7 linked regions of the Rattus norvegicus genome follow. The protein of the gene in region 4 interacts with the protein of the main gene of each other region in a pairwise test. Links are inferred from orthologs where the notes say so. Each region holds a gene or a part of one and is shown on either strand. Other genes may lie near its edges. The genes, in order: Ccdc120, Unc45a, Tsga10, Mid2, Enkd1, Gem and Lgals8.

Evidence for each region.
Region 1: the proteins of Mid2 (region 4) and Ccdc120 interact in binary tests that used the Homo sapiens proteins (3 or more experiments, as listed by UniProt). The link is inferred for Rattus norvegicus from reciprocal best matches to the Homo sapiens genes MID2 and CCDC120.
Region 2: the proteins of Mid2 (region 4) and Unc45a interact in binary tests that used the Homo sapiens proteins (3 or more experiments, as listed by UniProt). The two-hybrid records come from large-scale screens. The link is inferred for Rattus norvegicus from reciprocal best matches to the Homo sapiens genes MID2 and UNC45A.
Region 3: the proteins of Mid2 (region 4) and Tsga10 interact in binary tests that used the Homo sapiens proteins (3 or more experiments, as listed by UniProt). The two-hybrid records come from large-scale screens. The link is inferred for Rattus norvegicus from reciprocal best matches to the Homo sapiens genes MID2 and TSGA10.
Region 5: the proteins of Mid2 (region 4) and Enkd1 interact in binary tests that used the Homo sapiens proteins (3 or more experiments, as listed by UniProt). The link is inferred for Rattus norvegicus from reciprocal best matches to the Homo sapiens genes MID2 and ENKD1.
Region 6: the proteins of Mid2 (region 4) and Gem interact in binary tests that used the Homo sapiens proteins (3 or more experiments, as listed by UniProt). The link is inferred for Rattus norvegicus from reciprocal best matches to the Homo sapiens genes MID2 and GEM.
Region 7: the proteins of Mid2 (region 4) and Lgals8 interact in binary tests that used the Homo sapiens proteins (3 or more experiments, as listed by UniProt). The two-hybrid records come from large-scale screens. The link is inferred for Rattus norvegicus from reciprocal best matches to the Homo sapiens genes MID2 and LGALS8.

The regions. Positions count from the first base shown.
Region 1 is NC_086039.1:17,440,219-17,444,216, reverse strand, and holds the end of Ccdc120 (coiled-coil domain-containing protein 120), read right to left. Parts: intron 3,891-3,998; coding exon 3,828-3,890; intron 3,472-3,827; coding exon 3,297-3,471; intron 3,167-3,296; coding exon 3,068-3,166; intron 2,016-3,067; coding exon 1,101-2,015; intron 616-1,100; coding exon 501-615; downstream 1-500. UniProt on the Homo sapiens protein: Centriolar protein required for centriole subdistal appendage assembly and microtubule anchoring in interphase cells. Together with CCDC68, cooperate with subdistal appendage components ODF2, NIN and CEP170 for hierarchical subdistal appendage assembly.
Region 2 is NC_086019.1:143,690,683-143,693,291, reverse strand, and holds the end of Unc45a (protein unc-45 homolog A), read left to right. Parts: coding exon 1-54; intron 55-960; coding exon 961-1,078; intron 1,079-1,183; coding exon 1,184-1,339; intron 1,340-1,501; coding exon 1,502-1,759; 3' UTR 1,760-2,109; downstream 2,110-2,609.
Region 3 is NC_086027.1:47,591,262-47,595,241, forward strand, and holds the start of Tsga10 (testis-specific gene 10 protein), read right to left. Parts: upstream 2,801-3,980; 5' UTR 2,746-2,800; intron 2,601-2,745; exon of another isoform or gene 2,554-2,600; coding exon of another isoform or gene 2,482-2,553; intron 1-2,481. UniProt on the Homo sapiens protein: Plays a role in spermatogenesis. When overexpressed, prevents nuclear localization of HIF1A.
Region 4 is NC_086039.1:109,223,820-109,227,319, forward strand, and holds part of Mid2 (probable E3 ubiquitin-protein ligase MID2), read left to right. Parts: intron 1-3,197; coding exon 3,198-3,325; intron 3,326-3,500. UniProt on the Homo sapiens protein: E3 ubiquitin ligase that plays a role in microtubule stabilization. Mediates the 'Lys-48'-linked polyubiquitination of LRRK2 to drive its localization to microtubules and its proteasomal degradation in neurons.
Region 5 is NC_086037.1:50,503,617-50,507,794, forward strand, and holds the start of Enkd1 (enkurin domain-containing protein 1), read right to left. Parts: upstream 2,801-4,178; 5' UTR 2,511-2,800; coding exon 2,426-2,510; intron 2,346-2,425; coding exon 2,151-2,345; intron 1,275-2,150; coding exon 1,102-1,274; intron 1-1,101. Other genes in the region: C19h16orf86 (uncharacterized protein C16orf86 homolog), read left to right, coding at 3,031-3,114, 3,353-3,570, 3,904-4,148. UniProt on the Homo sapiens protein: Microtubule-binding protein which regulates microtubule organization and stability. Promotes the stability of astral microtubules and facilitates the proper orientation of the mitotic spindle.
Region 6 is NC_086023.1:30,010,336-30,014,440, forward strand, and holds the start of Gem (GTP-binding protein GEM), read left to right. Parts: upstream 1-1,305; 5' UTR 1,306-1,442; intron 1,443-2,758; 5' UTR 2,759-2,767; coding exon 2,768-3,095; intron 3,096-4,105. UniProt on the Homo sapiens protein: Could be a regulatory protein, possibly participating in receptor-mediated signal transduction at the plasma membrane. Has guanine nucleotide-binding activity but undetectable intrinsic GTPase activity.
Region 7 is NC_086035.1:62,726,353-62,729,852, forward strand, and holds part of Lgals8 (galectin-8), read left to right. Parts: coding exon 1-96; intron 97-2,611; coding exon 2,612-2,731; intron 2,732-3,275; coding exon 3,276-3,332; intron 3,333-3,500.

The sequences.
Region 1 (3,998 bases), about 92 Mb from region 4:
TAGACAGAAGCCCACCTGCTCGAGAACTCTAGTGGGAGGAGGCAGGGAGCTCTGTTCACAGCAGTCCTAGTCCCGAGACTCTATGTGGTCCATTCTGTTGAGGCAGGGTGGTGGCTCTGGAATGGAACAGGCTGGGCACGGGGACAGGAATGAACCCAACCAGGAATGAGCTCAGTTTCCCTTTTATAAAACACCGAGTGTTGGGCAAAGACAGTGAATGCTAAATCACAAGTGTAAACAGAAATGGAGGAAGAAGCAGTCGCCACACCGTTATCCCCCTCTTTGAAGCTAGCTGGGGCCCTCCAGACCCCCAGCACAGGGTAAGAAGAAAAGCAGGGGTATCAGACATCTTCCCGGGCCAAAAGGAAGCCAGGGGTCCTGTGAGATCAGGCAGTTGTCCCGCAGGACCAAGAACAACCACATCTCAGGGCTCAGCGAGGTTGACTGTGTGTGCTCCTCAGACTGGAGTCTGTCTGTCCAGACCGACACAGGGCTTAGGGTCAGACCAGTGTCCCTGGGGTCTGGGTATCAGAACTGGAAGACTGCTCCCCCTCTAGCGTCAGGTCACTTAAACGAGCGCTCAGCTCCGGGGGATACAGGAAATCCGTGTAGTATCTTTAGAAAGGACAGCAGGAATCCGGAAGACAGGTAGGGAGGACAAGGTAAGAGAGGAAAAGACGGATAGGACACACACAGAGAGAGGAGAAGAGCTTGTTAAAGAGGTGGAGACAGCTACAGGATAGCACCTTCAGGTTCTCAAGCATGGAGTAAGCTTGGAAGAGAAAGCCAGGGAGAGCATGAGTCCCTTCCTCCCAGCACCCTGACTTCAAGGCTCACTGCCAGCTGCCCCACACTATGGAAAACAGAAAAACCCTTCTAAAGCTTGGGAAAGAACTCCTGCCACCAACACCCAAGATCCTCCTCCTCAGGACCCCAAGGACTAATAAAAGTTATGTCTGACAGTGACCCCATGCCAAGACTACAGCTCATTTTCTTGTGGTCCCGACACTCAGCAGCTATGGTGACAAAGTGCTCCCTGGTCAGGATACCTTCAGCATCTGTAGCAATACCCCTACCCATCAGTAAAAGCACCCCCATACCTGCCAGAGACAGGGGGCGCTGTAAAACTCCTGGAGTGCGGGAGCGGTGCCTGGCTGGGAGGGCCGTACAATGACTGGCCCACCTCATAGCAGCGGGCATGGAGGAAGGGTGTGTGTGTTGGCCCCACGTGCGGGAGCATTGGCCGGCGCTGGGGACCAACGGCCAGTCCCGAGTTCCGGATGTACCAGTCCCGCAGCCCCTCCAGGGCAAGGTTCTTGTGGCCACCTCGCTCACCAGCTGGAGGTATCCGGGTGGGTGGGGGCATCCAGAGTAATGGGTTTGGATGCACTTCCAGACCCTCCACGGCTTCTGGGGGCAAGCCACAGGGCTTGGAACGGATGGCACGGCTGTTGGGGTCCTTGCTGCGGAGGAGGGGGCTGCTACCATCAGCTGCATATATGGGTGGAGGACCTGGGAGCATGGCAAGGAGCCCGTCTCTGCGGGAAAGGGGTCCTGGAACTTCAGGAGCAGGCAGCAGGTCCCCCCAACCGGCCCCGCCACTACCGCGGGGCAAGCCTCGGTCCAATGAGTAGTCCAAGAGGAAGTCTCCACACACAGGTGGGAGCCGGGGGGGCCCACGGGATGCAGGGGCAGCCGAGCTAGGTCTGGCAGCCCGAGGAGGGTCTGGGGGGCCAGTGGTACGGGAAGAGAAAGAAGGGACTGGTTGGGGGCGCTCATACAGCACCTCACTGCTCTTGCAAACTGGGGGACCAGCAGCAGGGGGAGCCAGCGGAGCAGGTGGTGATCCAGCTCCCCCAGCAGCTGCACGGTCCACCAGCAGGGCCTCAGAGCTATTGCTGCGGCGCGTACGAGCTGCGAAGAGAGAGGCCCGATCCGAAGCAGGGTCAGGCCGAGGAAAGCCCATCTGGGAGTCCTGACTACCGGACCACTGACGAGGATGGAGGCCTTCGGGTCTGGAGAGCAGAGGTGAGGTAACAAGGGCAGGGTCAGACAAAGAATGCAGATGATGAGCGCCCTGGCTGCCCCATCTCTTTCTGAGCCCCCCCCCCCCTTGCTCTAAAATGGGACCAGTATTAGGAGCTGCCTTCTTATAGCGCTGAGCAGTGCGTGTAATGTCATGGGCCAGTGAAGTTCGCTCCCGCACAGGGAAGCTGGCGCATAGGGCGTGAAAATGTACACCAGGATGGGGTACACGCTCGTAGGGTTACGTAAATGTTTCTGGGAAGGAAGCAGTAGCTAAGGAAGGGCACACCCAGGTACTGTTCTGTTACCCAGGGGCTCCTAGTCTCCCCCTAAGGTTATCCTTATGGCTCCTTGTTACCTCCTGAAGGAAGTCCTAGGCCTTATGCCTGGAACTAAAGGCCTTGCTGAATTCTAACCCACCACGCCTATGAACCATCCCCAAACAACTGTCCCACCATGCACAGAATGTAGGCCCTCTAAAACACGAGGCTTCTGTTCACGGCATGGGAAAAATAGACATGTTTAACATTTAGGAAACATTATAGTATAGTGCTTCGAGGCTGACACTAGATTCCATAAATTTCCATGGGTTCAAGCATGAGAACTTCGGTTTGCTCACAGGTTACCTAATTAACCTTTCTGTGCTTCATTTTCTACATTTATAAAATGCAAATGACGGCATCTCCTCAGAGGGGTCTTAGAATGCGAGAAGGAGTTACTATCCGCCACGAATGCTATCAATTATTAGCAGACAGTAGGCATTTGCACATGCTACCCAACATGCACTGTGCCCGTGCCTTTCAAAGGCAGATATCACACTCCACAAATGAAGAGACAAAGATTCAGAGAAAGAAAATGGCATCCAAGAAAACACGGGAAAGCCCCACTTTCACACCTCTGCCTCCAATTCCCACTCCAACTTCTATCCGCCTTTCAAAGGCCGGCTGCCCAAGTCCCACATCTTCGGGTAATTCAACATCTACAGTTAGGACTACAGTCTTCCTCCTCTCATATTCAGACCCACCCTCAAGAGTCCCCTTACTTGCAGAGCCGGGGGCCACTGCCCCGGGTGAGGACAGGGGTAGCAGGCACACTTCGCCCCTCAAAACTGGAGGCACTCCTGGGCAGCGAGCGTGTGGGGCTAGACAGAGATGGCAGGCCCACATCGGGACCCAGGTTAGAAAGTGGACCCACCAGTAGGCCCTCCTGCCAACCCAGGCTCAGGATCCCACTCTTGGTCCCGGGAAATGGGAAAACGGGTTCCTCTTTACCTGGTGGGGCTGGCCACAGAGTTGCGCCGGCTCTTCAGGTCCCCATAAATATCTGATGGCGGAGGTTTCCATGGGGCACGTCGCTCGGGGCTCCCCCCAGATACCGCCCGAAACTGGTCCCAGGCTTTTGGTGGGGAGGGGCGCTCCGTTAGAGGGAAGCAGCTATGAGGCTCTTCTGGGTAGAAGGAAAAATAAGGTAAAATTCAACGAGAGGGCCCAAAGGGGCAGAGCAGGCTCAAAGGGGAGGGGCATGTGAAGGGGAGGGGCATGTGAAGGGGAGGGGCATGTGAAGGGGAGGGGCATGTGAAGGGGAGGGGCATGTGAAGGGGAGGGGCATTGCTGGGATAGGCTTCAACAAGCTAAAGGATGAATGATGCAAGGCAAAAAAGGTAATGTAGAGACTGACCTGTAGGGTCTGGGGCAGAGGAAGGCAGTGAAAGGAGAAACTAAGAACACATAGGGACATGGGGCGCGGCTAAGGAGGAGCTATAGTAGGAGGGGCTGAGCACAGGTTAAGGGAATAGTTCTCACCATTATCATGGCTGGCACCTGACTCTGAGAGGGAGCTGCTCTCCGAGTGCAGAACTACATCCTCTACAGGTGAGAAATGGAGAAGCAAGAGATCAGTCAAGGTCTGGGTTCTAGCTCCTTATACCACTGGATATAGGCACTTCTGTGTAGCCTACCTAAGGACTACTGACT
Region 2 (2,609 bases), on a different chromosome or scaffold from region 4:
CTTTGAGGCCCTCATGGCCCTAACGAACCTGGCCGGGATCAGTGAGAGGCTTAGGTAAGGTCCTATGCAGCTTGGCACAGGGATTTGGGTGAGCCCCAGTTACTCACGCTGGAGTTTGGAAGACAGTTCCTGGTCATTCTGTGTGCCTCACAATGACTCCTCTGCCACATACAGAGGACACAGTCATGCCAGGGGTGGCAGGGTGAAGCGCTGGGGCCCTGACTCTGCCCACTACATCCTCCTCCTCTCCTCAGACTGCTGACACTCACTGGCTCACTCACCCTAAGAAAGTCTTTAAGTCATTCTGCCTCAGCTTCCACTCAGAGTTAGTTAGGTATCTAACTGTGGAGTAGTAGCATGGAGAGATGGCTGAGAAAATGCTTATAAAACCCTTCATCAGGCACAAGTGGTGGCTCATGCCAAGGGAGGAAGATTGGCTGTGAGTTCTAGGCCAGACTCCCCAACCTCTCCTGAAAGCCCTTAGTTCCTAGGTATCTGGCCCTGGCAGTAGTCACAGTGAATGTGTATTAGTTGTTAGTACTGTGACCTTGAACACATGACTCACCATGCGGCCCAGTTTCTGCTTTGGCTAAATAGAGACGGTAGCCACCACTATACATGGAGTAAGGTGAACATTAAGGAAGATAATTCAAGCCTGGGGCTATGATGAGCGTCAGGTGAAACAGTTCAGGCAGCTTGGGCAGGTTCAGAGCTCAGATGATTGATGTTTACCGAGCTATCTTCATAACCACCCTGCTTTGCTAAGTTCCAGGACGCTCAACACCCCCATGCTGTGTGTAGCCAGGCCAGAAGGCTAGAAAGCTCTGCAGTTCATAACCCACACAGGAAAGCCTGTGGGCACTGCTAGGGGAGCGCCTCAGCTCAGGGCACAGCCACCTGGGGTAGTGTGGTACAGGATGATATGGAGACTCTAGTCACGTGTGCCAACTTGTCCTGCAGACAGAAGATCCTGAAGGAGAAGGCCGTGCCCATGATTGAGGGCTACATGTTTGAGGAGCATGAGATGATCCGCCGGGCAGCTACAGAGTGCATGTGTAACTTAGCCATGAGCAAAGAGGTGAGGGTCGGTCCAGCTAGTCACCGTGACAGAGATGCCAGCGGCCCTGCACTTTGAGCACACTGTGGGCCGAGGTAGCAGGGTCCTCTCCCCGTCTGTTCGCAGGTACAGGATCTCTTCGAAGCCCAGGGCAACGACCGGTTGAAGCTGCTGGTGCTGTACAGCGGAGAAGATGATGAGCTTCTGCGGAGGGCTGCTGCCGGTGGCCTGGCCATGCTCACCTCCATGCGGCCCTCACTCTGCAGCCGTATCCCACAAGTGGTTAGTTGCCTGTTCTTGTGGGGGGCATGGAGGAGGGTGAGGGAACTAGCAGTTCCTCACATGGTAGCATCGCTCTTCTGTTGGGGAGCTCCCAGGGTACAGATGTGTTTTCTGCCAGAGTCGAGCCTGTTGCTAGGTCTTCACACCCACCATTCCCTACAGACCACGCACTGGCTGGAGATCCTGCAGGCCCTGCTTCTGAGCCCCAATCCGGAGCTGCAGCACCGGGGCACTGTCGTGGTGCTGAACATGATGGAGTCCTCGAAGGAGATCGCCAGCACCCTGATGGAGAGCGAGGTCCTGGAGATCCTGTCAGTGTTGGCCAAGGGCGAGGAGAGCCCAGTCACCAGGGCTGCTGCAGCCTGTCTGGAGAAAGCCGTGGAATATAGACTTATCCAACCCAACCAGGATGGGGAGTGAGGTTCTGCCCTGGACCCACAGCTCATGTGTCTGCTACCCATCACAGCTCTGAGAGTCAGGATAGAAGCAGCGTGGCCAACAGGACTGGGATGCTGGACACTGGCCTTCCTCCCCAGCTGCACTTTGGTGTTCTCTATCCTGGGGACACGCACCACACAGCCCTGCCCTGCCAGCACTCAGAAGGGCCCTGTCTGTACTGTAGAGAGCTGGGAATGGGGAGCACGCATCCCATTCAAGTCTGTGGATTATGGGCATCAAGAAGGAAGGGCACAGTAGCATCCTCACAAGCCGGGAGCATCACCAGAGCCTGCCAGCAGGCTAGTCCCTCTAATAAATCATGTGGAACTAAAGCTCAAGTTTGTTGTGTAGGCGGGGCTGCTGAGGGTGGGACGCTCTGGAGCTGCAGCCTAGTGTGCTTCCCCTGTAAGGAAAGGAAGCCAGTGGGCACATGGAGAATCTGTAGACAAGGCCTTAATATGGGTAAGTCAGGCTGGCTTCAAACTGACGATCCTTTCTCAGCCCTTAAGAGTAGTGCGGGGCTGGAGAGATGGCTCAGTGGTTAAGAGCACTGACTGCTCTTCCAGAGGACCTGAGTTCAAATCCCAGCAACCACATGGTGGCTCACAACCATCTGTATTGAGAGCTGATGCCCTCTTCTGGTGTGTCTGAAGACAGCTACAGTATACTCATATGAATAAAATAAATCTTAAAAAAAAAAAAAAGTAGGGGTTGGGGATTTAGCTCAGCGGTAGAGCGCTTGCCTAGCGAGCACAAGGCCCTGGGTTCGGTCCCCAGCTCCGAAAAAAAAGAAAAGGAAAAAAAAAAAAAGTAGTGGGAATTACAGTTGCCG
Region 3 (3,980 bases), on a different chromosome or scaffold from region 4:
CATCTCTCCAGCTCTGTACACTAACGTTTAAAAATTAGTTTAAAAATATATCATTAGGGTCAGGAAAGTACACACTGTACACATAGGATCAGAATTTGGATCATAGCATCCTTGTAAAGAAGACTGGGCACAGCAGTGGGCAGCATGTGCCTGTGATCCTAGCATGGGACAAGCAGGGGATAAGAGGACCACTGGGCATGCTGGTCAGCCAGACTAACTGTACTGACAAACTCCAGGCTCAGTGAGAAATGATGCCTTAAAAATAAAGTAAAGAGGGGCTGGGGATTTAGCTCAGTGGTAGAGCGCTTACCTAGGAAGCGCAAGGCCCTGGGTTCGGTCCCCAGCTCCGAAAAAAAAAGAACCAAAAGAAAAATAAATAAATAAAATAAAGTAAAGAGGGATTAAGGGAAAACACCCAGGTCAGTTTGTAACCTTCACACACATGTATACATGTGCATGTAACACATAACACACAAAGTATCATTGCTCTTAAGCAAACTGAGTCACACAGTACACATTTGGCAAGTAGCTATTATATTGATACAATAATTAAAAATACTGTAGTATTTTCAATTCAGTCCTGAAAACTGGTTCTGGGAAAGCTAAACTAGGGTTAAGTTTTGCTTTTTTTTTTTTTTAAAACAATTCTCTCCAAAAGTTAGATTTACAGACTCATCAAAGTAGGATAGAAGTGCCTACCAGGAGATATGGATAATCCTACAAAAAGGTTATGAATGTCACATTTATATTTATGACAAAAATAAGTGAGTATGTTTTGAGAACTCACTTCAAGCAAAATAGTAAAGTCATTAAAGTTTAAACTTTTCTTAAGGTAAACAACAACAAAATCTCCCCAGTCATTTCACTCCAAGCTCCAAGCTCATCTCTGTTTCTACAATCCAGTCTCTAAAGAAATAACTTATGTTCTCAATGCAGCATGAAACAATGGAGAGGCAGTGTTTATCAAGACCTTAGAAACCCAAGACGGAGTTAGCTGTTCTCTGAAGGCTTTTCTAGACCAAAGGGATTAGTAATTTAAGACTAAGACTAATGGTGCAACTAAAACAAAAAGAACTACCTTCCCCACTGCCTCTCCTCAAAACATGAGATGCATATATTTTAATACCCATAACCCTGTCAGATATTTGAAAACCCACCGACAGTAAATTGTGGTATATCTTTACAGTGGAACACTAGCAAACTACCTAGAAGCAGTAAGGATACAACCTCTAAGTGTTGAAAATAAGCTGTAGAACACCTGCTACAGTTTCCCTTCTATAAAGTCCCCTAACAAGGCAGACTGTAAGCTGTACTTTTGCACAGGATGATAAAACTACTAGGAAAAGCAAGAAAATGGCTAGCATTGCCAGTATGGGGAATAAAGGAAGCGCAAGAGCATGTGACTTGTTAGGGAATAAATTACACCTGTTTTAATGGCCTCTACTTGTGGAAAACTTTAAAACCAAATGATTTTTAAACAAATGAGACATTAGACTGAAAACAGAACCCAGAGGCTCTCTCTTTGCCTGGTTATATTCTGGGCTACGGCAATGATTCTTCTTTGGAAAATAAGTAAAACCTGTTTTTAAAACTGCCATTAAATAATATCGAGGTTTGGGGGTTTGAAAGGAATATTGGTTGATGTAATATATTTATTATTTCTTTCCCAGTAATTAAGACAGAAGGACTTAGTTCATTGCTTAATTAAAATACAATTGTTTTGTTCTTCAAGCACAGTTAAATATAACTTCCCTTTAGCTTAACAACCTATTCTATTCCGAAATTACTATGACTTTATTTCCCGAAAGTGAACAAAATGTACTCGAAATCCTGAAAACCAGTAGAATAAAATGACTAGCTAGTACCGTGGGACATGCAGGTCTGCAGGGGCTTAAAGAAAACACCGAACCCTGTCACTTGTGCAAACCTTTCTTAAAATCTAAATCGTTGACTGAAGATTATATACAAATACTTATGTACATATATACGTCGGCATTTTTAGATATTAAATGCATGACAGATGCCTATTTGAGTCTTGAATAAGTTTTCAAACAAAAACCAGCCTACCCTGCCTTTCCTCTGTACAAACTAGGAGATTGTGAGATTTTTTTTTCATGCAAAATTCAATTTCTCCCTTCATCTGCCTTCTAATCTATAAAGAAGAGATTGAGGAGAGACTGGGGGGTCCTGAAACAGACAGGCTAAACTTCCAAATGCCACAGCTTCACCTCAGTGTCTCTAAGCAATCAGTCCCCCAACAACCAAGCTGAGGCAGGCAGCAGCGAAGCGGTCACCATAGGAACTGGGCTCAACCATGAACTCCCCAGAAACTAGGGTAAATTTTGCTCCTGGAAGCCATCCTACCCGGCGGGTTACCCACGACACAGCTGCCCAAACAGCGATGCCCACCCCGGGCCACCGTGAGGCTCTCCCCACCCTCTTGCAGCCGCCCCGGAGTGGCTCTCTTCTAGCCCAGCGCACCTCCGAGGCTTCTCCCTGGAGCTCCGCAGCCCTCCCCTGGCCTCCGCGGCCACCGTCCTCCCCGGAGCTCATCCCGGCCACTATGGGGCCTATGGCCTTGCCAGAGATCCAGCCCCACCCCGGCCTCCATCCTCCGCCCCTGTCTCCTTCTTCCCGCCCCCTGGCTCCGCCCCGGCGGAGGCCGGCGCTGGGCAGGGCGCAGCGGGAAGAGGGCGGGAGCGGTTAGCTCGGGGCTGGCCGACGCCCCGCCCTCACGCTCTGTACCTGAGCGGGGCTCTCCTTCCACCTCCCCGGCGCCTCCGCTCCACTTCCGTCCGGCGCGCCCTAGCCCCCGTGCGCACGCGTACTTGGCTCGACACGCCCTCTCGTGGGGGGGGGAACTACGGATCGTGCGCGCGCACCCGAGCGAGCACGTAGCGACGTAGACAGCAGCGGGCCCGAGCTGTCAGGGCTCCGACTTGAGGCCTTTTCCTGGTCCATCCGCGCCGCGCAGGCGCACGGCCACGCAGCGCCGTGATGGCCGACCCGTGCGTCCAGTCTCTTAGTAACCATCCTCCAGCCTGCGCTTGCGAGGAGGTAGCCGGAACGCGCAAGCGCGGTGGCCGTCGCCCGGCGCTGGCGCCCCTGCTGCGGTCCCAGGAACCCCAGGCGTTTCTAGCTGAGGGAGGCGGTTACTCCCTAGAGCTGCTCCGGTGCGCAGCCATCGTCAGGAAGCTGTGCTGTGGGAGCCTTAAGGTGGGGGACCCTGTCGCAGCTTCCTGGCGGGAGACGATCTGTCCTGGTGCCACGGGTCTGCTCGGGTCAGGATGGATCTGGGAAATGGCAGATCCAGCATTCATCTCCCCCATGCCAGTCGGGCATTTCTGTTCTACACGCCGGTCCTCTCTAGCACGCTTAGCAATGAAAATCAAGAAAGGATATAAAACCTCGTGAGATGTTAAATACTGTATCTGAAGGTTTTACCCCGAGTTTGGCTCCTACCAGCGAGCAAAATTGGGCCTTTTCTTATCCGACGTATTTTTTTTTCTATTCGAGAGCCTTAAAATGGCATCTCGAATCTTTCTAAATGGAAATGAGCCCCGCGCTGTGCTGCCATTGTTTTTTTTTTTTTCAGTTTAGCATGAAAAGTATTTTGTCATACTGCTTTTGTGAGTGCGTTACCGCTTCTACCCATCTTAGCCAGAAGGTTTTTTTTTTTACCCCGTTTTTATTTATTTTATTAGGACGCAAAGTAAATAGGTTTCTTTGTGGCATTTGCCTTCAAAATTTGTTTCTGTTGTCCACTCCCCTTGCCGTTCCACTCCAGTGACCCCAGTGGTCCCTGCCTTTTTCATGTCACAGTGTTCTGTTACCCTCAAACCACTCTTTCCCGCCTCACCTTGTAGTTTCGTGAGCTATGTCCACATTCACACCCGTATTTACCCCCTACATGTAAAGCTAGAATCGGCATGCAAGAACATAATGGCTTTTGACTTCGTGAGTCTGTTATCTCATTTAAA
Region 4 (3,500 bases):
CTTTTCAGAGACCTGCCTGCACTCAAGCAAAGCCAGGGTTCTAGGCTGCAAGCAGAATTTCAGATTGAGTCAGTATGGTGCAGAATTGGAGTTTATTAGGAAGAACGTGTGACACAGATTTGAACTTGGGGTGTTAATAGAAAGAAAAGTGCTCAGGGAACGGATGCGACATGTCCGAGAGTATGAGCATGGGCCTCTCACAGGACATCCCCCTTGAATTCCTTAGCGGTAGCTCAATAGAAGATTTTAGAGGGTTTTGAACTTACACAGTTCAAGGTGTTTTAAAGGGAACACCCTTCCTCTGTCTCTTTTCTTCATTTTGATAAGGAAAGGAATGGGATGGCTGTAGGAACCTTGAGTAAGATTTCACCCTGATCAGGTAAAACCAGGGTCCAAAGGTTACACAAGGGTGTTAAGATGTGCCTTTCCGGGGTTGGGGACTTGGCTCAGTGGTAGAGCGCTTGCCTAGCAAGCGCAAGGCCCTGGGTTCGGTCCCCAGCTCCGAAAAAAAAGAAAAGAAAAAAAAAAAAAGATGTGCCTTTCCTGTAAATGTGGGGATTATTGTGAGATTCCTTAACAGTTGAAGGCTTACAGAAGACAGTCCCTAATTTCCCTGTCCTACTATCCTGCCTCATTACCTCACTTACTGCTTATTCTTAAGTGACTTAAAAATCTGCTGCTAAGGCATTCAAGGAGGATTCTCACTTGAGAAGCTCACACTTCTTCCGCTACAGCTTTAGAACTATTGTTAAAACAGAAATTTATGCTCATTATTCCTCTACTTAAATTGCTCCAGTGTCTCCTGTTCTTATTCTTAGGTTAAAGGCTCGAGTTAAAAACATAGCATGTAATATTTCACATGGTTCTGCCTCTTTCTCCACCCTTTAAGCCTTTGTTAACTGATCATCATGTAGGTCATGGCTTAAGAGTAGCTTCCAGCTGGGCACAGTGGTGCATGCCTTTAATCTTGGTACTGGAGAGGCGGGGGTAGGTGGATCTCTGAGTTTGATGCCAGTCTGGCCTACAGAGTTCCAGGACAGCTCAGACTTCACAGAGAAACCCTGTCTTAAGGCAAGGAACAAACAAACACCAAACCAAACCAAACCCAACCAAAACCAAAACCCAAAATAAAACAGAAACTTGTTCTGGGGAGAGTTGTCTTTGGTCCCATGTTCCTGTGTTTCCCATACCCTCCTTGCATTCCCCATTTAATGTCTCTGTTCGTTCCCCATGACCTCTGAGCTCATTGAACGCGTGGATCACAGTGAACCTGTTTCCTTGAATATCTGTACAATGGAGCACAGTGTAGGGCACCTTAGTTTTGCTTAATAACGTTTGGGTATGTGAATGGATGGATAGGTAGATGAATAAAAGAAAAATATTGGGAAGGCCAGGAAAAAATTATGACCAATTTTTCTGACTTAATATTAAGATTATTATTCATCAAATACTAGAAAAATAGCTCTTCACTGTGAAACCTTAAGATTGTCTTGTGCTGGGCATCTAGTTGTATCCCTTTAATCTTAGCACTAAGGTGGTACTAGAAAAGGACCACAAGCTCAAGGCCATCCTTAAGTACATAGGAAGGTGAAGGCCAGCCTAAAGTACAGCAGATTCTGTTAAAGCAAAAACAACAAGATAAAACAATACCAAAAATAAAATCCAAAACAGTTGTATGCGGTTAACCCCTCATTTATTTTTGCTGTCATGCAATCGATTCTAGAAACATCTATGGTTTCAGAAGTAGGCACAAGCTATTGGTTGTAGATATGTAGTATATGTATTTGCCCAATTGCTCATTGCCTTACAAATGGCTCAGTATAAAAGTTGCTGTTCTGATTTTACTCTACCCCATGCTTCCTCTCTCCACTGGAACCTCCGTAGTGTTTGCAAGATAATGTTTCCTTCCATTTTGCTATCTGTATGCACAAGGAACTTCATTAATTCTGATTCAGAAGGTCTGATACTGGACTAAAATCTGAATATTTTTGTAAAAGTTTCCCCACATAAGTCTAATTAACCATTGGATCATAAGAATTGCTGATGTACATAAAATGTATACTTAAAATTAGGAATAATGTACACGGTTATGGAAACAGAATTTAAGATCAGACAAACGTGGCTTCAATTAAAATTTGACTTTTACTATTGTGTGTGATCTTGGCAGCCTCCTTAGCTTTTAAATGTGCATGCTTCCTTGCTTACAAAATAGAAATAACTTCCACTGTATAACATTGTGGTAGAAGAAAATTAGATACTTTATGCAGATTCTTCATGTTCTTGCACAGAACCTTATATATACTAAGCATTCTATGAACTTTAGTATTATATTGTTTTTGTAAGTCACTCAGTTACTTGTTCAACACATATTTATTCACTATGTGTTCAACATTGTTTTAGGAACCATAGAAGAAGATATAGGAGGTAAAATAGGAACCTATTCCTGTGTCTCTTAAAGTTAGTTGGACAGCCTAAGACTGTAACCCAGTTAGCAGACTGTTTGCATAGCATACACAGAGCCTTAGGTTGAATCCCCAGCACCTCCTAAATGGGACATGGTGGCACATCTCCCTGACCCTCAGGAGACATAAGGAGGCGAAACAGGATTCCAAGGTAATCCTTGGCTGGGTAGCATGTTCAAGGCTAGCCTGGGATATGCAAAACCCTATCTCAAATAAATACATAAATAGGAAAGAGACATTTCGGTGGGAACATAGTTATCACAGTGTTATGCAATTAGAGAATAATGCAATGAAATATGAATATTTTAAAAGATCAAATAATGAATAGTATTAATGGGGAGACACTAACCCAACACGTTGGTTTCTTAGTTAGCACGGAAAAAGGAGACAGAAAGCAATCTGAAGCTGCTCTTCCCAAGCCAGCAGAGGTCTACTTTGATGCTGCCTGCCAGATGGAAAATGATGCAGAGGGGAAAAAATCCTGTATTTACTTCTCAAAATTAAGACAGGATGGCGGAGTGTGTTTGAGGGGCGAACATATGTGTGTAAATATGGTATAACTCTTAATTGGTTCCTTACGATTAAAATGGAAACCGTTTCCGTTGGAAAGGCAGAGATCTGGTATTTTCACTTACAAGTGATTTATTTTTACCTCGTTAAACCAGAAATCAAACACTAGATGAAGGTTGCAAGCTTATTTGGATGTATATTGATGTATTTTTTTTTTCTTTTCAGGGTCGCTATGGCAACTGCATCTTCGCAAGTTCTGATTCCAGACATCAATTTTAATGATGCCTTTGAAAACTTTGCTTTAGATTTTTCTAGAGAAAAGAAACTATTGGAGGGGCTAGACTATTTAACAGGTGTGGAAGAGCTGTGCTTTCCTCCCCCCATTGTATTTATTTATTTTCCTTCTGTACCCATTTGTCTAGAGTAAACTGAAAAGGAAAATATTTGCAATAATGAAAAAAATAACACTTTTCCAGTATGTGTAGTTTTTCAGACAAGATCAAGTGTGCTTCAGGTGGTACGGTTGTA
Region 5 (4,178 bases), on a different chromosome or scaffold from region 4:
TGGTACATGCCTACAGTCCCAGGACTCAGGAGGCTGACGCAGAAGTAACTGTTTGGGGCCAGGCTAGGTTACAGAGAGAATTCAAGGACAGCCTAAGGCTAAACAGCAAGCTACCAACTCAGAGAGAAATCATCTGGGAGTGGTGGTCCAAACCCATTTTGTCCACATCTGGGAGGCTAAGACAGGAAGGAGAATTATGCCAGTTCAAGGCCAGCCTGGGCTACAGGAGTTTGAAGTTAGACTAGGCTACACAGTGAGACCCTGTCTAGAAACAAAGTAGCAGTGGAAGTGGTGGTGGTGGTGGGGTATGATAGCACCCAACAGTTAAGGACACTGGATGTTCTACCCGGGAATGTGGCTTCCATTCCCAGTATCATGTGGCAATTCACAGCTCTCTGTAACTCCAGTTCCGGGAGATCCACACCCTCTTCTGGTCTCTGTGGTGCACAGACATACATGCAGGCACCCAGACACATAATTTTGGTCTTTTTTAATCTCAAAAAAGTAATTAACTAAAAGAAAAAGAAGAGAGAAAGCAGCGTGGTAGCGCACACTTTTGATCCCAGCACTTGGTAGGTGAACAAAGGAGCATCAGAAAGTCAAAGAACTTGAGGTCAGCCTGGGCTACGTGAAACATAGAGATAGAGACAGAGAAACTGAGAATGAATTAGTAGGAAGGTTGAGGATATAATTTTATGAGTACCCAGTGTGCGTGTGCCCCAGGATCCAATCTCCAATATCACATGTTGATAAGTAACTTAGGTAGTTCTTTCAGATATGTATTTAACTGGCTTTCTGTTCTAACCTTCTGCTTTCCCCCTACAAATAGAATTATATCTATATGCCCATTGCCCCTACTCCCTGAGCCCAGAACTTTTACCTACCTGTGGGGTTTCATCTCTGGGGAACCTTTTCTTCCTCTAGCCTAATCCTCACTTGCCCTGATGCCATCAGTTCCTCAGAGAAGGTCCACCAGATGTCTTAGTCTTTGTGAACACACCACACACACACACACACACGCACGCACACACACCCCGTAAGTTAGATTAGATATAACTGCCTTGGCCAAGATGGATATGTCCGCCTGCCTGAGACAGATACCTTCATCCTGGCCTTGACTCGAGACTCTACACTGTCATACTTGGGTGAGCGCCACAGTGCCTTCAGGGGCTTGGGCTGGGCCTGCTCCCGGCTGCGTTCCTGGTCTTGGAATCGCCTCTGAATCTCTTTGATCCGCCTCAAGTTTTCCTTCTCATGGTCTTTTGGATCCTTCCCTGGAGGAGGGGAGGAATGTTGCTAGGAACAGCCCTACGAATGGCTGTGCAACTCAGACTAGATCTCATACAGATTCACACCCTACCCCTGGGAGATGTCCAGTATATGAGAAGCCCTGGGTTCAATCTCCAATATCACACACAAAGTTCTTAAATACAACCAAGACCTCTACATGGAAGTTGAATGCCATACACACAGCAACATTAGCAGCTTATTCCCTTACACAGAAATTGTGATTACCTTCTACATTTTATGATATCACCGAGTATATTATACATATGTCCTGTCTTGTTTATTGACTCCCTTACTTCTTTCCCCAAAATTTATTTATTTATTTATTTATTTATTATTTTTTTTTTTTGGTTCTTTTTTTTTTCGGAGCTGGGGACCGAACCCAGGGCCTTGTGCTTCCTAGGTAAGCGCTCTACCACTGAGCTAAATCCCCAGCCCCTTATTTTTTAATTCACATTATATCCCAATTGTAACCCCCACCCCAGTCCTGCCCCTGTCATATCCGGCTCCCTATTACCCCCTTCCCTTCTCTTCAGTGAAGGGGAAGCCCCCCTTGGGTGTTACCCTACCCTGGGACAACTCCCATACTTTTTAACCTTGTTTTCCTAACAACCATAGGGCTTGGCACAAAGTAGGCATTAAGGGAACTGTTCTATCAAGGTGTGAAAGCTTGAAGCTGGAGCTCTCTGCAGAAGGATGAACTCTGATCCTGCAAGAAGTATTTTGCCCTTCTTTTAGGCTAGAGAAATTAAGACCCAGAAAAACACATTAACTGAATGGGTTCAAGGCGGTTAAGAAGCACCCTATTTTAATCTCTGCTTTTGACCTATGAATGCCTCAATACCCCGTCTGCAAGGACTTACTCTTAGGAGAGACCCCTGAACCAAGGGAGATGCCCCCCAGTTGCAGCAGCACGTCCCCCACACCTCGCTGGCCACGCTCTAGGATCTCTCGGGCTCCAGGCCTGATGCGAGGGCCACGAGGAGGGCTGGAGTCCAGGTCGCGACCTGAAGTCAGCAGGTCCAGCTTCAACGCGTTTCCTTCCAGGCGTCCTTGGGCTGAAGAGCAAGACGCGGTGGAAAGCCGTGCTCAGAGGTGGGGCGGGGTACTCGCCCCGCCGCGGCACCCCGCAACTCACCCGAGGCCGGCCGCCGGTAGTAGTCCGGGCAGAGAGTAGGGTCTGGGGGGATGGGTCCAGAGATGCGGGACGGGCCCTCGCACATGATCCTACCGTAGCCCTGCAACTGTGCATCAGGACCTGTTGCGCTGTGCAAATGTCCCCTCTAATCCCTGTCGGGTGTTTCCACCCTCCACCCGAGCTCTGTAGCCCCGTGGTACCCCCCATCACTGACCCCCACCCCTCGACTACCGCTCGTTTCCTAAGCTCAGCCCGTACCACCGCCCCGCGACTAGCACACGGCCCTGAGGGGTTCGCGGCCCCTCCCCCTGCAAAGCCCCAGCGTGGACTCTCACTGCAGCAGTTTTACCGCCAACTGTAGCAAGTCGGTAGGAGTTGCTGTTGCTTGGCAACAAATGGCTTCCTGAGGTCAGGGGTCAAATGACTAAGGCGAAATGCCTTCTGGGGTTTGTAGTTCCAGATGAGGAGCGAGTCTAAGTCTCGGGTCGCAACAGGATCCTTACCTCTCAACCTGTCTCCCCTACCAACACTGAGCACCGGTCCAGCCCTGCTCTGGGCCTGCGGTCTTCTCTGAGCAACCGTCGAGGGATGCATTGATTCCTGCCATGGCCTCAGCAGGGGCCAAGAGGCAGCCAGAAGCCCAGAATGGGGCAGCAGTAGGGTTAGCCCAGGTTGCAGAGATCCCTGAGGTGACTTGGGCATTTCAAAGCTCAGGAGGAGGAGGGGTAGGGCAGAAGAGCAGGACTCTAGGTGACCCAACCTTCTAACTGCCAGGCCAAGTCCTGCAGGTAGAGGGACCTAAGATTTCCTATTCTGTGGCCAATATGTAGTTAGGAGAGGCCCCCAAACCAAGAGAGATGCCCCAGTTGCAGCAGCTTTGGGCTTTGCCTGACCATGGGCTATCAGTTACCTATGTATGTCTTCTAGTGTCCAGGAACAGAAGAGTGTCTGGTGCCAGCACACGAGACCTGCAGCACTCCAGGTGAAGACAGGTGTCCAGTAGGACACAGCTTAGAGCCAGAGCTCCAGGAGGAAGGAATAAACCTGGGAGAGGAAGGGCTCAATCCAGGGGTGGAAGCAGGAGAGGAGAGAGGACCCAAGCCTACATCATCCATCGTGAGGCCAGCTCATGGGCCCAAGAGAAAGTGAGAGGGCTTTCAAGGGGAAAGGCTGGGGAGGTGGGTCTTAGACCTGGAGATTCCTAAATCCCAATTCCTTCAAGGCAAAGAACCTTGTTTTCTTCTAATGCCCTCACCTCCAGCTCCTGTTTCTCTAGAACAGTTGGGGCGGGGGTGTGGATTTGGGGCTTCTTAGTCTTGTAGGAGACTTAGCTACCATTGAACGCTGGGCCCCTGTTGGGTTTGGAACTTCACTAAGAAATGGACAGTTAACTAGCTCTAGTGTGGCTTGGTGGACAGGCAGGGGTAAGCCCTAGGTTCAAGACACAGGAACCAAAGACTGAAGCCTACCTCTTTCAGGCCTCTTGTCCCAGGCTTGAGTACCCCAGCCCTCCCAGGGCAAAGCTACCATGCCCATCCTAGGGCAGAGGCCGAACTGCCACCAGGGCTGCTGCTACAGAAGGAGGAGCCAGAAGGCAGCCACAGTGAATCCTCGCTGTCATCTAAACAGCACAAAAAAGCCAAGAAACGCAAGAGTGTAGGGGCTCCTGTGCCCCCAGCTGTGGCCAGCGCATCTGCACCCACAGAGACCTTGGGGCTGGAGCGTGAGTGGCAATCCCTGGGCTTTTGTTTTT
Region 6 (4,105 bases), on a different chromosome or scaffold from region 4:
GGACTCCACCTTTGAGACTAAGGCGCTCTAAATCTTTCTTATTCGGTGGATTCTACCTTTGCCAACTTGGTTCCTGACAGGCCTCAGAAGCTGGTCACTTGGATAATTCCCAGATCGCATAGATGCCTTCGGGAGAACTGGGACACCATTGTAACCACAGAGCAGCCCAGCCACTCCAACAGACAGTGGTGCTGGCTGTTTCTTGAGGAGTCACCGGCCAACCCACAGCAGACGCTGGCTGGAGAAGCAGATGGATTTGTTGGAAAAGCTAGCATGGAGTCTAAACACAGCATGTGGGAAATGCCCATGTCCTGGGGACGCTCATGTCCTGGGGAAGAGGCCACTTAGCAGTGCAGTTTAAAAGGTACTTAAACTAGGCTCTGAATGTTGCCTCTGCCTCCACCCTGACCTTAGGCAGGTTCCCTTGTAGCGAGACTTGTTCTCAGTCCACAACTGTAGTAAGGAGCAAGGTTCTCTGGGCCCACCAGAACCACAGGTCTTTGCAAGTCTTTGCAAAGGGTTGTAGCAATAGGACTCTCTGAGGGAATTGAGCCTGCTTCTCCCCATGGCTGGGAAGCCCTGGCTCCAGGCCACATCCAGCCATGCTAAGCAGCTCGGTTCTGAGATGCACCGATCGGGGTGTGATTAAATTTCTGATTGGCATTGTGGCCAGACCAGGAGGACAGCAGTGTTTAGCGCAAGCTGCTTGGAGCCAAACTGCCCTTTTTCAAGGTCTTCCCCACTCTTTTCTCTGGCCCGTTCTCTTTGGATCTCTGCAGGAAAAGGGAAACTGTGTGTCCCCAATCCAGAGAGAAGGTGACAGGAAGCAGGAAGGGCCTGGTTGCTTTTCAGAGCATGCTGTAAAGGTGGCCTGTCCACTCAGGTGGCTGTAGCCCCATCCTGGAGGCCGGAGTCCCGCTCACTCTGATGGGTCTGTTTTCTTGGCACAGCTGGACTCGCGACTCAGGCCTGCTTCTTTCCCCATCCTTTATTCAGACAGCTCACAAGTGCTCTGCTGGGAAGGGCGATTAAGATGCACTAAGTGTATTTTTCCAGTGTCCACCTGATAAAAAGAAAATAAAACAAAATCAAGGAGGCCAACGTTTGAACTGTCTTTTTTTCCCTCACACTCTCCTCAAGGGGCTAAGGGAGTCACATGACTACGAGTAAATGATTTAGCCAAGTGGCTGCAACTCCGAGTTTGCTGCAGAGCCGCCCCCTCCCGGCGGGAGCGCTGACGTCACGGAAAAGCCCCGTCGCGGGGCTGCCGGGCGCGCTATAAACGGCGGCGGGCCGCGGAGGCTTCAGGAGGCGGCACTGCCAGCGGACATCACACAGCCTTAGACTGCGGAACCCGCATCGGCAGGCGGCAAGCATTGCAGCAGGCAGCAGGCATTGTCCGGACCGACGGCAAACGCCCACCCAGCGCCCAGTACAGCCAAGTAAGGGGACATGGATGAGGGGCAGTCCCAGTGGGACCCTCCGCGGGAAGGGGCGTTCCTGGTCACTGAACTTTTTAAGTTGGGAAGGGAGACCCTAGACCATGAAGTCTGTGCCAGGGGTTCTCCCATAGGAGAAAGAAGTTCAGGTGCAAAGGATGCGCTTCTGATGGGGGTTCCTTAATTCAATTCCGGAGGAGTGTCACCTTACAGATTAGGTGGCCAGGCGGCAGACTTCAAGGTCTCAACACAACTCTGTCAACCCAGGGATTGTTTTTAAGATTTAAAAAGAAACCGGCTTGTTCTGTCTAGTGGTATAGGTGTCATGTGTGAGCGGAGTGCTATCCCTGCACTCACGCGCGGGGAGCTTGTTGAGTTAACCATGGAGTGGATGCTGCTGTGTTATCTCGGGCAGTCTTGGCAAAACGGACTGCCTGTCAGCAGGGGAGGCGGTCTTGCAAGGAGAAAGTTGTAGGAAGTTGAGTGGCTTTTCCCTGAATCTCTGACCTTCTGATTTACTTCAAAAAGGTGGAATTCTGAGCTAATTAAATCTTGGACTGGACAAGATTCCTTAAGAATGAAGCACTTTTTGTACAAGTTTGATGTATCTGAACGTGAGCAGGTCCTTCCCCTGTCAGAAGAACCAGGCTCAGGGCTGGTTATGCTAAACAGTATCTGTGGGTGAGAGAGCAGAGCTGAGGCATAAACCTCAAACTGTCCCACTCCCCAAATAACGGTCTCTTCAGGCAGCTGGAGAACATCAGGGCAACTTTACTAAACATGGAAGTTCCCCCAAAGCGCCTGTCCAGTCCAGCCAGGGGAGTGATGTCATTGCCACGTGTTTCCCACTGAGGCACAAAAGACTGCAGGACACTGGGCAGTGAAGAGCCCTGTTTAGACAAGAACAGCTAACCTGGCCAGCTGGTCCCTAGCAGTACTGACTTGTTGCTGATGGTAAAGCCATTTCTGGAGGCAATGGGTTCCTTCCAGATTCCTCTGTGCCAACTTCCAGTGGGATTTTCCTTCAAGGATGGAGGAAGCTTTTGAGCAATGGATGGTGTTACTGGTACTACAAATGACAGCCTGAGTGAGAAGCTAGTCACCGTGTGTGTGTGTGTGTGTGTGTGTGTGTGTGTGCGCACTCGCGCTGTTGTTGTTGTTGAAGACTTTGCTTGCCAGGCTTAGGAAGAGTTTCATGGTTGTTCCTTACGTTAAGAATTCATACCTATCCAGTGAAGAACCCCTGATGACAGTATTGAGACTCCCTGGGCCTGGCTCATTCTTAACAATGTCGCCATCTTTACTGCTCTGATTCCCAGGATCCCACAATGACTCTGAATAACGTCACCATGCGCCAAGGCACTGTGGGCATGCAGCCACAGCAACGCTGGAGCATCCCTGCTGATGGCAGGCATCTGATGGTCCAGAAGGATCCCCACCCCTGCAACCCCCACAACCACCACTCCACTGCTCCCGATGACCACTGCCGGCGGAGCTGGTCCTCCGAGTCCACAGACTCGGTTATCTCTTCCGAGTCAGGAAACACCTACTACCGAGTGGTGCTTATTGGGGAGCAAGGAGTGGGCAAGTCCACCCTGGCCAACATCTTTGCAGGTGTACATGACAGCATGGACAGCGACTGTGAGGTCTTGGGAGGTAGGTGGCCCAGTTCCCGGTGCTGTTCTGTCTTGTAAGCAGGAAGAGCAAGAGGGAGTGGGTCGTTTCCCTGCAGAATTGGGAGCCAGGCATAATGGTACACATTTGTAATCCCAGCACCGTGAAGGAAGAAGCAGAAGGACTAGGAAGTCAAGGTCATCTTCAGCTACATAGAGAGGTTTGAGGCTAGCCTGGGCTATGTGATTCTGTCTCAAAAAACCAACAAATTAAAACAAAACGTTATCTTCAGAATTAGGGGAGAAACGCATGCCTTCTCAGTACTGAGATGGGAGACAGAAACCTACCTACTGGCACAGAGCCCAGCGCGCGCGCGCGCGCGCGCGCGCACACACACACACACACACACACACACACACACACACACAGAGGAATATGTGTACACAGTGACCCAAGTTATCAAGAGGCTTTCTGAAGGTCAGGTCTGGGAGGTTCCAGAAAGGCTGACTCTGCCCTGGACCAGTTTTGGAGAGTTCATCACCACAGATAATTTTCCTGTGACTATGCATAAAACCAAACTGATTTTGGGGGAAAGAGACCTGTTAGAGTGGATCAATTAGTTTGTTTCCACTAACATTAGAAACATTTGTGAGTGTAAGCAGGTCAAATGCTGTACTTGAAGTAACATAATAACTTTAAAAATTTTGAAATGGAAAGATGATGATTAAACGCCCCATGTAGAGCCTGACAGGCCTTCCAGATGATTTTCTCTTCCAGATGAAATCCTAGTTCAAGGATTTATTTATTTAATCCTTACCTATTCCTAGACCCATTTTATACAAACATACATTACACAATATATTGTATATATTACACAATAAATTACAACTGGGTAGCCAGTTGTTGTCATACAGTGTCCTTCAGCTAGAGCCCCAACATCTCATGCATACCCAGAACAGCTGCACCTCCTGTTAACAGCTGTAGAAATGGAGAAAGGAGTGTTGGAACTCCTCACATGGTCTGTCCCGACTCTCAGTTAAGATGTATACCCT
Region 7 (3,500 bases), on a different chromosome or scaffold from region 4:
GAGAAATGGGGCTGGGAGGAGATCACCCACGACATGCCTTTCAGAAAAGAAAAGTCCTTTGAGATTGTGATCATGGTGCTAAAGAACAAATTCCAGGTAGGTGCTGAGAGAGAGAAAGGGGGTGTGTGAGCGTGCGTGGGGATGGCGTGGGGAACTATATGTCACCGTTCAGATGGAAACGCAGATGCAGAACAGAGACATTCTTAGGTCTTCTTCCAGGAGGGTAAATTCTGGATCATGTCACGGTTAGGGGAGTGGGTTATAAAACCCACACCTGAAGTGTCCCACTGCCCCTCATGGCTCCATGACAGATCCAGTGCATGCATCTCCCACCCCGAGAGGCCATGGTGCCCAAGAGGAAGATTAGTGTGGATAGAGCGATGAAGGCGGAGCCCAAGCTCCATTCCTTGAGGCTATCGGCCAAGCCCCGCCCCTGCCAAGGTGGACAGGAAGCCGGAAAAGTGGGAAAGGATAAAAACATCAGACAAAAAAGTGCAGATAAAAGGGAAGAGGGAAGCGAAGGGCAAACAGGCTGACGTGGCTGACTACAGATCTGCCTGCAGACAACGGAGAGACAGAAAACCAGAGAAGAGAAAGATACCAAGTCCAACTAAGCTTCCATCACGTCTGTCAGTGGTCCCTGCCACTCTTCTTGTACAATCCAGAGGAATATTTTTTTATCAACCATTTTGTAAATGCCAGTTTTTTAGTAGCTCTAGAAACATTTTTAAAAGGTGAGGGAATCCCACCCCATCCCATTTTTTTAAGTGTAAATGTTTTTTTTAAAGAGGTTAAATCATTTGCTGGTTGTTTATTTTTGGTACAACCAGAAAATAGCAGGATACTGAATCAGGAGAGGCTGTGACTGTGTTGAGGGTCACCATAACATACTGTAGAGGGGGCTGGTTCTATATCCTACAGTACAAAGCTTACTAAATAGCAATTTGGAGTCTCAGTCATGCATTCGTGTCTGGAATTTTTTCAGTTATATCTGGTCCAGTGTTTCTAGTAGAGCCATTTTGTAAGAAAGCCAGTCTTTGGTCCTCGCCCTGTCAGAACTGTGATGCCTTTTGTCATGGCAGACCATTTTCCTAACAGTTGTGATAATGTGCAGTGAAAGATGGAGATTTTGAGTCTGTTCTGTGGTGTTGTGAATTGGTGGAACTGAGGATTATGAGCATTTGGTTGTCATGAGAGGTCTTATGGAAACTTGCCAAGTTTGAGGAAACAATACGTAGCTCTTTGTTTGCGTACATAACGCAATGTGACTCTTCAGCGTTTGCGTACCTGTGATAAGAATTGAAATGTCTGTGTACTCTGCTCCTTGACCAATAGAATCTCAGTTATGAAAATAAATAAACAAATAAATCCCACACCTGAAGTGTGGGAAAGTCTGCATGACCCGTCTATTGGTGAACAGGGAGCACCTCAAAGGGGCATGCCCAGTCTCTCAGCAAGCTACTGCTGTAGAGCCCTGAGGGCCTTGTGAACAGTGACTTCCAGAGGCCCCTAAGAGTGCCAACCCCCAAACCCATAGAGGGCTTGTACAGCGGAGGTCTTGCAGCACATTTTGGTCCAGGTCCTTGTGGGACATTGCCCTTTGGAGCCCCCTGTGCTCCTCGGTTTGCTGTCCTATGCCCTTCAGTCTTTAATCTAGCTGTACCCCCCGTTGTTGCCCTGGGTTTGTTGTATATGGGGATTTTTAAAGCTCACTCAAAGGTCCTACTGTGGGCCCTACTACGGGCTGCTCATGTCTCCCTCCTGGAATCTGAGGTACACCACCTGGCATTTGAAGGTCCTGTGTAGAAGATTCACAGATACAATCTTCCCATCTCACACAACTGTAGCCCACTGAGTGAGGCTCTTCTCACCCCGAGATAAGAAATCTCAAATAAGTCAGAGAGCTTACCGTCACTTTGCTTTGTGTGTGTGTGGGGGTGGGGGGGTTTGTCTTTTGAGACAGGGTTTTTCTGAGTTGTGCTGGCTAGCCTTGAACTCACTCTGTCGACCAGGATGTTCTAGAACTCAGGAGTCTGCCTGCTTCTGCCCACCAAATGCTGGGATAAAGCACCATCACTGCTTGGCTGCTGCGTGCTTTCACCGAGTGAGCTCAGTGCCTTCTTGTCCCTCCCATAGAGGTGGGGCTGTCAGACTGTAGCCCTGAAAGAGGGTTGGGACCACAAGGAGGCAGAGCTTACCTGCATCTTAGGCTTCCAGACCTCGTGAATGGCTCTTGGGGCCCTGCGCATGGTTGTCTCCTGGGCACACACAGATAGATACATGTGGAGCACACATAACATCCAAATGTATGTGTCTGGAGAGATGAGTCAGGCACTTACTCAGACAGTACTCCAAAAGTTCAGAATTTCTGCTACTGAGGTTGCTGCTTTCAGCCACAATGCAAGCAGAGATCTGTGAGAAAAACCTGAGGCGTCATCTCATTCATTCATTCATTCATTCAGTTTTGTGGTGCTGGAGATGAAACCTGGGACTTCACACTGTGGGCAAGTGTTGTACCACAGCTCCAGTCCCACCCCGTAAGAGACACTTATTTGGATGAGGACTTACCTATCACTGTGCTCTGAGTGCATCGCCTTCTGCGTCTCTCCAGGTGGCTGTGAATGGAAAGCACATTCTGCTGTATGCCCACAGGATCAACCCAGAGAAGATAGACACACTGGGCATCTACGGCAAAGTGAACATTCACTCCATCGGGTTCAGATTCAGCTCGGTCAGTGCCCTTCCACACACCCCTGGGGGCTTCGGGGACAGTGTTTTCACGTTTGGTCAGACCAAATGGCAGAAACTTCCTTTAATTTACACCTTCCATTTAGGTAAAAATAATATAACTATTTCAGACCTAGTTGGGTTCTGCCCACTAAGCATGCTTTTGTTGTTATAGGACCTCAGATCTAGAGTGAGCCTACCAGTTGGTTAGTTAGCGTGAATCTCCTGTCCCTGGGTGTGAATAACTAACTATTCCTATAAGACAGTTTTCTATGTATCTAAATTTAAGCTTCCCGGACATTGCTAGCTTGTTTCCAATGCTGTGAACGGTGTAATTCTCAACAGCTGTGCCTAGCTCTTAGGAACATTAGATCTTGTTCTCACAAACTCTCGCCAGTTTGGGGGACCCCCACTGTTGAGTTGCATTTTTAAAAAGCATAATTATCAATAATTTTCCATGGTCAGTATCACCAATAAGTTTTTATTATGTTCAATATTTTAAAGAGAGATTCTAATGGATGTTAAAATTAATGTATGTTCTTTTGCAGGATTTACAGAGTATGGAAACATCTACTCTGGGACTGACACAGATAAGTAAAGAAAATGTAAATATTCTATGAACCATCAGTTTAAAATGTTCTTAGTTACTCTCAGTGGAAGGAAGGATCTTTTCTCCCTTTAATGATGGAGTTTTCTGTATGTGTTCATATGCATGCAGGTGTGTGTGTGTGTGTGTGTGTGTGTGTGTGTGTGTGTGTTCAGGTAGGCTAGAA